Linked DNA regions of Neurospora crassa OR74A. The protein of the gene in region 1 purifies or fractionates together with the protein of each later gene. This does not show direct contact. Links are inferred from orthologs where the notes say so. Each region holds a gene or a part of one and is shown on either strand. Other genes may lie near its edges. The genes, in order: NCU06314 and NCU03311.

The links.
Region 2: the proteins of NCU06314 (region 1) and NCU03311 purify together in Saccharomyces cerevisiae (affinity purification with mass spectrometry; 8 studies listed by BioGRID, with this or other methods). This does not show direct contact. The link is inferred for Neurospora crassa OR74A from reciprocal best matches to the Saccharomyces cerevisiae genes CLP1 and RNA15.

Annotation. Positions count from the first base shown.
Region 1 is NC_026504.1:2,943,100-2,947,667, forward strand, and holds NCU06314 (hypothetical protein), read left to right. Parts: upstream 1-1,589; 5' UTR 1,590-2,249; coding exon 2,250-2,859; intron 2,860-2,930; coding exon 2,931-3,197; intron 3,198-3,294; coding exon 3,295-3,557; 3' UTR 3,558-4,037; downstream 4,038-4,568. Other genes in the region: NCU06315 (inositol hexaphosphate kinase 3), read left to right, coding at 1-816. UniProt on the Saccharomyces cerevisiae protein: Component of the cleavage factor IA (CF IA) complex, which is involved in the endonucleolytic cleavage during polyadenylation-dependent pre-mRNA 3'-end formation. Associates with HRB1/CF IB to form the cleavage factor I (CF I) complex.
Region 2 is NC_026501.1:5,271,471-5,276,017, forward strand, and holds NCU03311 (polyadenylation factor subunit CstF64), read left to right. Parts: upstream 1-1,730; 5' UTR 1,731-2,264; coding exon 2,265-2,316; intron 2,317-2,394; coding exon 2,395-2,520; intron 2,521-2,590; coding exon 2,591-2,712; intron 2,713-2,781; coding exon 2,782-3,450; 3' UTR 3,451-4,011; downstream 4,012-4,547. Other genes in the region: NCU03310 (prohibitin-2), read right to left, coding at 316-642, 702-1,057, 1,126-1,375; NCU03312 (CorA family metal ion transporter), read right to left, coding at 4,075-4,351, 4,447-4,547. UniProt on the Saccharomyces cerevisiae protein: RNA-binding component of the cleavage factor IA (CFIA) complex, which is involved in the endonucleolytic cleavage during polyadenylation-dependent pre-mRNA 3'-end formation and cooperates with the cleavage factor NAB4/CFIB and the cleavage and polyadenylation factor (CPF) complex.

The DNA.
Region 1 (4,568 bases):
CCTAACATTATGGACGCTAAACTCGGCAAGCGGCTGTGGGCAGATGATGCGCCCAAGGCGAAGCAAGAGCGGTTTGATATAATCACCAAGGAAACCACCAATGGCTCGCACGGGTTTCGCATCGCCGGCATGCGCGTTTACAAGGGATCCACCAACCCCTCTGAGCTGGACGAGCAGGGTTATAAGGTCTACGACAAGCATTACGGCCGGTTAGAGGTCAATGCCGACAATGTTGTGGAGGCGATGCGCAAGTTCATTTTCAATTCTCAGGCCGGGATAGATGAGGAGCTTGGCAAGATCATTGCGGGTCTCTTCCTCAATGACCTAAAGCGCATCGAGGAGGTGTTGGCTTCGGAGGAGAGCAGAATGTACTCGGCGAGCTTGCTGTTCACATTCGAAGGAGACGGCAACGCGTTGAGAGCTGCCCTTGACCGGACCCGAGCTGACATGTCGGGAGAGCAATACAAGAAGGATGATGGACCGTACACGCCAGGTCTATCTGCATCTCGCGTTGATAGTGGCATCGAGATGGATGACGAGGGGCAGATGGTGTTTCCAATCAACGCAGCCATCGGCCAAAACATGATACTGGCGAACCTGGCTCAGGCACCTGGTTCCCAAGACATCCAACTCACTGCCGATTCCGACGCAGACAGCATGTCGGGTTCCTCGAACGGCGATATTCCTCGCATCTACTCCCTCAAACTCATTGACTTTGCACATGCCGAGTGGACACCCGGGCAAGGCCCAGACGAGAATGCTCTGTTTGGCGTTCGGAGTTTGATCAAGATCTTTGAACAGCTGGCAGATGATTGAAGGGCGGGTTTCCGAAAGCAATCGTGGAGTTAAGGCGGCATTTCAAGGCGTTTGGGATTGCAATTGGGGCTACCTTGCGAGACTACGGTTAGAGCATGTCACGGGCAGGTTAGAGGAAGGAAAAGAGACGAAAAGGGAAGAGAGCATATACGAATATATATGCATAGGTAGAGGAGAGGTTTTTGACGTCCGTTACGAACATCATTGAAAGAAGGGGAACCAGCCACACGGGCTATTAGGGGGACGGCAATTCTTTTCACGCAATATACCCCTTATTTTTGTTGTACGCTGTTATCCGATCTTGCCACAACTTGAACGTAATTGTAGTATCTGGATGTGGTTGTTGTTGTTGATGTTGTTGTTGTCTGTGACAGCAATTCACAACTTGCGCTGGAACCATATGCCATATTTTACTGTTTCAATGTTTTTTCTTGAAAATCTGCTATGAAGGCAGACATGCTACTGAAATTTGACAAACTCACCAGCAGCTGGTTAGAGGCAATAGGTACTAAAACGGGCTGCTTTTAACTCGATTTTCAAACACTCGAACTGGGACGAAAAGTGGAAGCGGAAAGCACAATTACACCTGGCAGTCTGGAGTAAGACAACCTCAATGAATGCCCTTGACACGCTTAGTACCTTCAGGGTACACAGCGTTTGAGCCCCACTGCCCGCAGCCGCTAAACTCACCTCAGCTTCAACAGCCCTGGCCTTGCTGCAGTGAGCATCAGCTCCCCGTCTTCCACTTAGGTTCCATTGCATGCCACAATAACCTGGAATCCCTGCATGCCAACGGCTGGACTTTACAACTTTCACCCCCATCGGCGCAAACGCAAACAGAACCTTACAAGAAGGAGAACGAAATACAAGTACATATCCAACAGCCTGTGAACAACCTCGTTCACGCGCTGAACACAGCCCGCAATGTCAATTCCAGGCCTCGGTCAGATAGCCCCGCAGGTAAACGAACCCAAGCTCTCGCGCGGACATGCTTCGTATAACCCCAGGCGCGCACGTGTATCCAACGGCATCACCATCTCCTCACAAGCCATTATTATCCATAGGCACACTCGTGACCCGAGATCACAACCAGCTAACCATCGCCTGCCATTTGCCCGTTTTCGGTAATCCAGGCTCCCACAACCACCCAGCGGACCATTAACCTCCGACCGTTCGGCGAATGGCGCTTCTCCATCCCCCACCAACACAGCACCTTCTCATCGAACTCCTCCGCCGCCGGAGTCACCGTCCGCCTCGTCGCCGGCACTGCTGAGCGCGATGGCACTGAGCTCGCGCCCAACTGCGTCTACACATTTCTCCCCGGCACCAAATCAAAGCTCTTCACCGATCAAGGATGCACTCTGGAGATCAACAACACGGGCGGCTACCCCCTCGAGGACCGCGTGGTTGAACACCCGCCGGAACAGTCGCCCATGCTTAGCTATATCAACCTCCACTTTGGCCTCCAAGACCACGAGCGTGCCGCGGCCGCTCAGGCACAACAACAACATCCTACACACCACCAGCAGCAGCAACAAGGGAGAGGAGCAGGAGCAGGAGTAGCGAGGTCAAAACCCGGGCCAAGAGTGCTGATCTGTGGTCCACCCGGCGTCGGCAAGACCTCGCTGGCGAAGCTCCTCGCTGCCCTCGCCACGCGCATGGGCTCTCAGCCGCTGGTAGCCAATCTGAACCCGACCGACGGGCTGCTGTGTCTACCCGGAACGCTGGGTGCGGCCGTGTTCGGCACGTTGATGGACGTGGAGGAGCCGGCGGGTGGGTTTGGCGTGACGAACACGCCGATCAGCGGTCCCAGCGCGGTGCCAGTCAAGAACCCGCTCACATTTTACTTTGGACACGAGAAGGTGGAGGACGACGTGGACATGTGGAGGCAGATGACGGAGCGGCTGGCGGTGTTGGCCAGGCGCAAGTTTGAGAGGAATCGGGATGTGAGGGTGGCGGGGTTGTTGGTTGATACGGCGCCGGTGGAGGCGGGGGACAAAGAGGGGCAGGAGCTGTTGGGGTGGGCGGTTAGGCAGTTTGATGGTGAGTTTATGTCTGATTGGCCTCCAGAAAGACCTCATCAAGAGTGACGAAAGCTAACAATGCAACTATAGCAAACTTCGTTGTGGTGCTAGGCTCTGAACAGCTAAAGACAGAACTTGGGCAGCGGTTCGCAAGCGAGAAGACGAGCTTTGAAGAGCCGATTACTGTCCTCGGGTTAGACAAGTCGGATGGTGCTGTACAGATTGACAAGGCGTGGAGGCAGAAGTCTACAGAGACGGCGATTAAGGAATACTTCTTTGGTGGCATTAAGGCGCGCTTGAGCCCCTTTACACAGTCAGCCAGTTTCGACGAACTAGTCGTTTTCAAGGCGCCTGACGGTGAGTTTTCTCTCTCTCTCACTCTCTTTCTCTCGCTGCACTGAAACTACCTCACCCTACCTGGCACCTAAGCTAACGCCTGTCTTTACCAAAACAGAACCCTATGAAGGCGCCCCAGTCCTCGAGCGAGTCGAAATCACCCCCGAAATGGCCCACTGGACGCTAGCAGTCATGATCGCTTCCGTGACCGACTCGCCGCAAGCCATCCGCTTTTCCTCGGTCCTGGGCTTCATCGTCATCGCCGACGTGGACCAGGAGCGCAGGCGGGTCAAGTTCCTGTCGCCGGTCAGCGGTCGGCTGGGCAACCACCCGCTGATATGGGGACGCTGGCCGGAACCGTATCTCAACCTCCTGGCGTAGGCTCGCCGAAACGTGATACGGGTACGGATGAGAGATGGTGGTCACCAATTGAGCCTGCAAGAGACAAATGATCTCCGGGTTTGCTTGAAGGTGTGGCAAAAATTGACGGATACGGCTGGCGTTGGGTTGGGCTTCGAGATGGAAAATGGTGAAAATGGCATGTAAAGGTGTTTGTTGTTATTCTTGCTTTTGGGTGTCTTTTGACTAGCATGAGAGTGAGCGGGAACAGATTTGGTACCTTGTTATTCTCCTTTGGTGGCTTGTTTGATTCTTGTTGAACATTGTTATTGGTACTTGAAAACGCAAGGCATCAGTCAGTTGTATGCTTTTTGCAACACTCATATCTACCAGTCACTCATTGATATGGGTTTCGTGGTAGAGAGCATGATTTTTGGTCTCTTGAGAGTTTTGAACGTTCTGCTCGAAATGGAGAGTTCCTAACCAGCTTCAGAAAGTAATCGTACTATATCAGCAAAGCTCACATCCAAGTTTTCCCACAGTAATAAGTAGATCAAATTAAAGACGCCGAGATACATATGTCTCAAGTTAAACGTTGTTAGGAATAGAAACAAGTTATGTGCAATGTGTTTACGCTGGTTGTAACATAGTATAGAGTCTTCCCGTTTGGTACTCGTCTAAGAACGTGACCGATTTGTTTATGGTTGGTTCCCCCTATTCTTGTTTTCTATCCTGGCCCATGAGGCTATGATACTGATGGTGACCATTCGGACGAATGACATTATATGCAGTAGGTCATTTACCTTCACCTTATCGCTAGAATCACATAGTGAGCGTGACGAGTTACCTATATAAGGGGATTCAAGGGCACCAGGGCACCGTTAAATGTGCATGGCAAGTAAATTTTCCTGTACATTGACATGCTCCCCTCCGGGAGTCAGTAAAAACGTTACTTCGTAACTCTATCAGCAATGGTTATTCACTTTGCTGGAGAAAGAGGTACATCCTCCACTAGGAATAAATATCGCTGTCCTACAGTAGTTTCTTATGGTA
Region 2 (4,547 bases), on another chromosome or scaffold:
GTGATTTTGTATCAACATCTTTCATTGATCCACCACGAGGCGTCCTTCGCGCTAGGTTGAATAACCGCTTTGGATCACTAATAGAGAGGATGCCTCGCACCTAAACAGGGCCATTTGCAGACGAGCTTTTCGATGGATATCTTTTTTGCGAAAGCTTCCTTTTCTGAAGATCATCGCTAAATCCGGCCTTTCCGATAAGTTCATTAAAGTCTGTTGTACACTTGGGGTTTCCGTCACATCCATAAGATACATATACAGCGGAGATTTTTATCCGTCATCTCATGCTCCTCCTCTCTAACTTCCAAAGGCCTCGGCTTAGTTGTCTTTGGACCTCCGATCTTCGAAAACGTTGAGGCCCAAGCCCTCAGAATCAAGGAGCAGCCTGTTCTTGCCGCCGGCCTCCTGGATGATGTTCGCAATTGCACGCGCATTCTCCAGCTTCTTCAATTCCACATACGACTTGCTCTTCTTGATGGCCTCACCGATGAGCTCCGCAGAACGGGCCTCACCCTGAGCCTTGACCACCATAGCCTGCTTCTCTTGACGCGCCTTGTCAACAATAAAAGCTGCGCGCTGCGCTTCTTGCTGTGCGACCTGCTTGGCCTCTACTGCCGCAGTGAATTCGGGGGAGAATGCGAGGTGCTGGGGTATGGTTAGCCAGAGATATCTACGACGCAAAAGAACGGGTGGAGGAATCGTACTGTAAGCGACACATCGTCCAGGAGGATGTTGAACCGGGCCGCACGCTTTGCCAGGTTCTCACGCACAAGCTTGGCAACCATCTCTCTTTGGGTGATCAATTGACTGGCGTTGAATTGCGCGACAACGCTCTTGAGAACCTCGTTGACGATTGAAGGAAGGACCCGCTCGTCGTAATCGGTACCGAGGGTACGGTAAATCTGAGGCAAGGCCGTGACTTCGGGTCTTGAAAGGACACGGCAGGTGATGTTGACCATTTGCAAATCCTTGGTACCGGTCAAGGAGGACACGTTTCTGGGCTTCGCGCGGACATCGTAGGTAATAGGGGTCTCGAACCAGGGGATCATGAGATGGGTTCCTATTCAACTTGTCAGAAAAACGATTAAGGCTAGCGAGATAGAGACCAAGCGGCGAAAGCAGACGAACCTTCGCCATAGATCTCCTTGCTAACACCATTAACTCTCCTGTACTTGATCGCTCTGTGACCACCATCAACGTTGAACAGGGAGTTTGAAAGGACCCAAGCACCACCACCAAGAAGGGCGAAACCGGTCAAGGCAGGGCCCAAACCGCGGGGAGGGATGGGGGGCCTGCCACCTGGGAAACCGCCGCCGCCGCGAGACCGGGCAGTCTGCTGAATCTTGTTCAGGAGATCCTGATATGGGTTGTTCGACATGCTGGGCTGCTGTGAAGTAATGGGCGGCCCAAAGATGATTTGGAGTAGGAGCCCTGGGTTGGTTGACGGATGTGGTGGGGAAATGGGGATTGAAGTCGTCACGATAGCTTGCCCGAGCTTTTCCAGCGTCGGAGCTAAGACCACCCACAGGCAGAACCACAAGCGAGGCGCATCACTAAAGTCCACTTGCCATCTGCCTACCACCCTACTGGCGCAACTGGGCTTCTAGGTACCGCCTGTCTCACTTTGGTCAAGCACAGACCATACGCTCACGTGGGTCGCTATAGCTTGTCGCGACGGGAGCAGGACCTTGATGGATCGTAGCTCGGAGACAAGTAGAGGTATCCACCCCCGCGACGTACATAGCCCCTGCATTCCATCGTCGAAGCGACACAGCGACAGAGAGTCCAATTTTTGACGTGTGCAAATCCAGAACTACAAACTTCCATTTGCAGCCACCAAAAGGTTGACTCCATTCCCAGAACTTCTCCCCGTTGTCAGAGTATTCCCACCTCGACCAAACCCCCATCTTACAAATCGACGGTATCTGGCAGCAGGCTTGGGCTTTGAAATTGAAGAGAAAAGGCTAAAGAGGACCCAATTGCCACCAGGTAGTCTAACTACGACTGTGTTAACTTCCATCTCATCCATTTGCCAAAGTTCGCTGTTCCTGCGCGGTCCCTATTGTTCCCATCGATTCATACCAATTCCTGGTTGCCCATCCCACCTGTCCAACATTTGGTTCGCTTGGTGATTCCCATTCGATCAGCCCACACAGCTCGCAGTCAAACTCACGCAGGATTGTGCCTCTCCACCCTCAGCAGCGCTACTGCTAGACACTTTGCGCTTCGTACAACATATTTGCTCGACAGTGAACGCGCGCATCGCCATGTCGACACGCCAACCTTCACGTGTGGTCTTCGTGGGAAACATCCCTTATGGTACGCAGACAACCCGCTTCTGTCCAGGTCAGACGACGACCATCTATAAAAGCCCACCCACTGACAGGGACAATGCAGGCCTTACCGAAGAGCAGATAACCGAAATCTTTAGCGGCGCTGGACGGGTCCTCAACTTCCGCCTTGTCTATGACCGTGAAACTGGAAGGCCAAAGGGTTTTGGGTTCGCAGAATTTCCCGACTACGGTGCGTATCCATCTCTGAATCAAGTATCCCTCTCCCGCGCACACGCTAATCAGCTTTCGCCGATCTCCAGATTCCGCTGCATCGGCTGTACGAAACCTGAACGACCACGAGATTATGGGTCGCAAGCTGCGTGTCGATTTCAGCAACGAGACTGTCAGCGACGAAGACGGTGGCAGAGATCGTGATGGCGGGGTATGGCACAAACCAACTCAACTCACCTCACTTTCACACCCAATCCACTGACCATGACGGCCTACCTAGTCGAATCAGAACGCCTCCGGTAGCTACAACGCTCAACCTCCCAATGGGGGAGGCTACAACACCGCTCCCCCCGTCAGCGCCGCCCCTCCTGCTCTCGGACCCTTGCCCCAGGGCAAAGACCTTCCCCCCGATGTTACCTGCACCGACGCGATCTCCCGCACCCTCAACACCCTTCCCCCGGCTCAACTTCTCGACATCCTCCAGCAGATGAAGACGCTGGCGACGAACGATCCTGCTAGGGCCACGGAACTTCTCAACCAAGCGCCCCAGCTGAGCTACGCGATATTTCAAGCGCTCCTTATCATGGGCCTGGTCTCGCCGGACGCTATCAACTCAGTTCTCGACAACCCGGCCGCTGCTGCTGCTCCTCCTATGGGTACTCCCGTTGTCCCCAACCCTATGGGCGGTGCTCCGTACGGAGCTTATCCCGGCGCCATAGCCACCCCCCCTGTTGCCCCTGGTCCTGTTGGAGGCTACGCAGCACCACCTGTCGCCGCGGCTCCTATTCCAGCTCCGACTGCTGCTGCTGCTGCCCCAGGGCAGGATGCAGAGGCGCTGATGCGTGCCGTTATGGAGTTGCCGCAGGAGACGATTGACAAGCTGCAGGAAGCGGAGAGGCAGCAGATTTTGGCGCTTCGCGCTCAGTTTTCTGCTCAGGGCCTACGCTAATATGACAGACGGATGATTCAACCAGTCAACTTTCCGTGAACATGGGCAAAAAATATGTATTGGGGCCTCATGTTCCTGTTTTTCTGTCGTTATGCATTCTTTTCTAGGCTGGTCAGGCGTTATGGTGGTGGCGGTCGGTTTCACACTCTAAATGGGAGCATTGCAAAGGTTCAATAGAAAAGGGTAAATATCGGTGAATTTAACAGCCACAGTCTGGAAGCTTAAACCGCTGAACAAAGTCAAAGTTTCGTAACGATGTATACTGACATAGCTTTGATCAGGTAGACGACACACATCATCAAAGGGATGAAGACAGAGTTGTGGACTACATGACTTTGCTTTCCGCTTTATTCTTTTAGAAGCATCTGTCTATCCAATCGCGAAAATGACAGATATTCAATCTCACTCCACAAAACGCCATCACCACCCCACAACGCCTGTATTTCGTTCTGTTTCTTTTGCCCATCCTTATTAACCAAAACGCTGTCATGTAGACATGTGCTCTCTCAGTACATGAGAGGATCTTGACCTTTTCGTCCAAAACATAGTCGTTGAACCCGTATGGTACATCATAAGCCCTCCTCACTTGCCTCCACTCACTCGCTTGCGTGCCTGTCTGTATCTTTACACAATCTTATACACACGCTTCGCAATCAGATAACAGCCAAACCCAAAAAGTAGCAGTCCCGCTGTGATGGCCGTGAACCACTTGAGGTCGCCCTCGTTCCCCTGCCCAGGGACCCAGACGTTCATGCCCCAAAGACCGGTAACGATGTTCATGGGGAGTACAATGGTACCCAAGACGGTGAGTCTCCCGAGCACGTCAGCCGTCTGCTCCTGTCGCTCGTTCATGCGTATGTTGATTTGCGCTAGGTAGTTGGCATGAGATCGTGCTAGGATTCTAAGTTGAATGATATGTTAGGATTCTGGGTTTGAAATTTGCTAGAAAGTAGTAACTAGTGGAGAAGCAATTGGATTGCTAGAGAGACAACTTACTTCTCATAGTGACTCAAGTTCGAAGTCATGGTCACAATATGATCCTGAATGTCACCCAAGTACAGACCGATCTCCGACCGAGGCGCCACCTCCCAATGCTC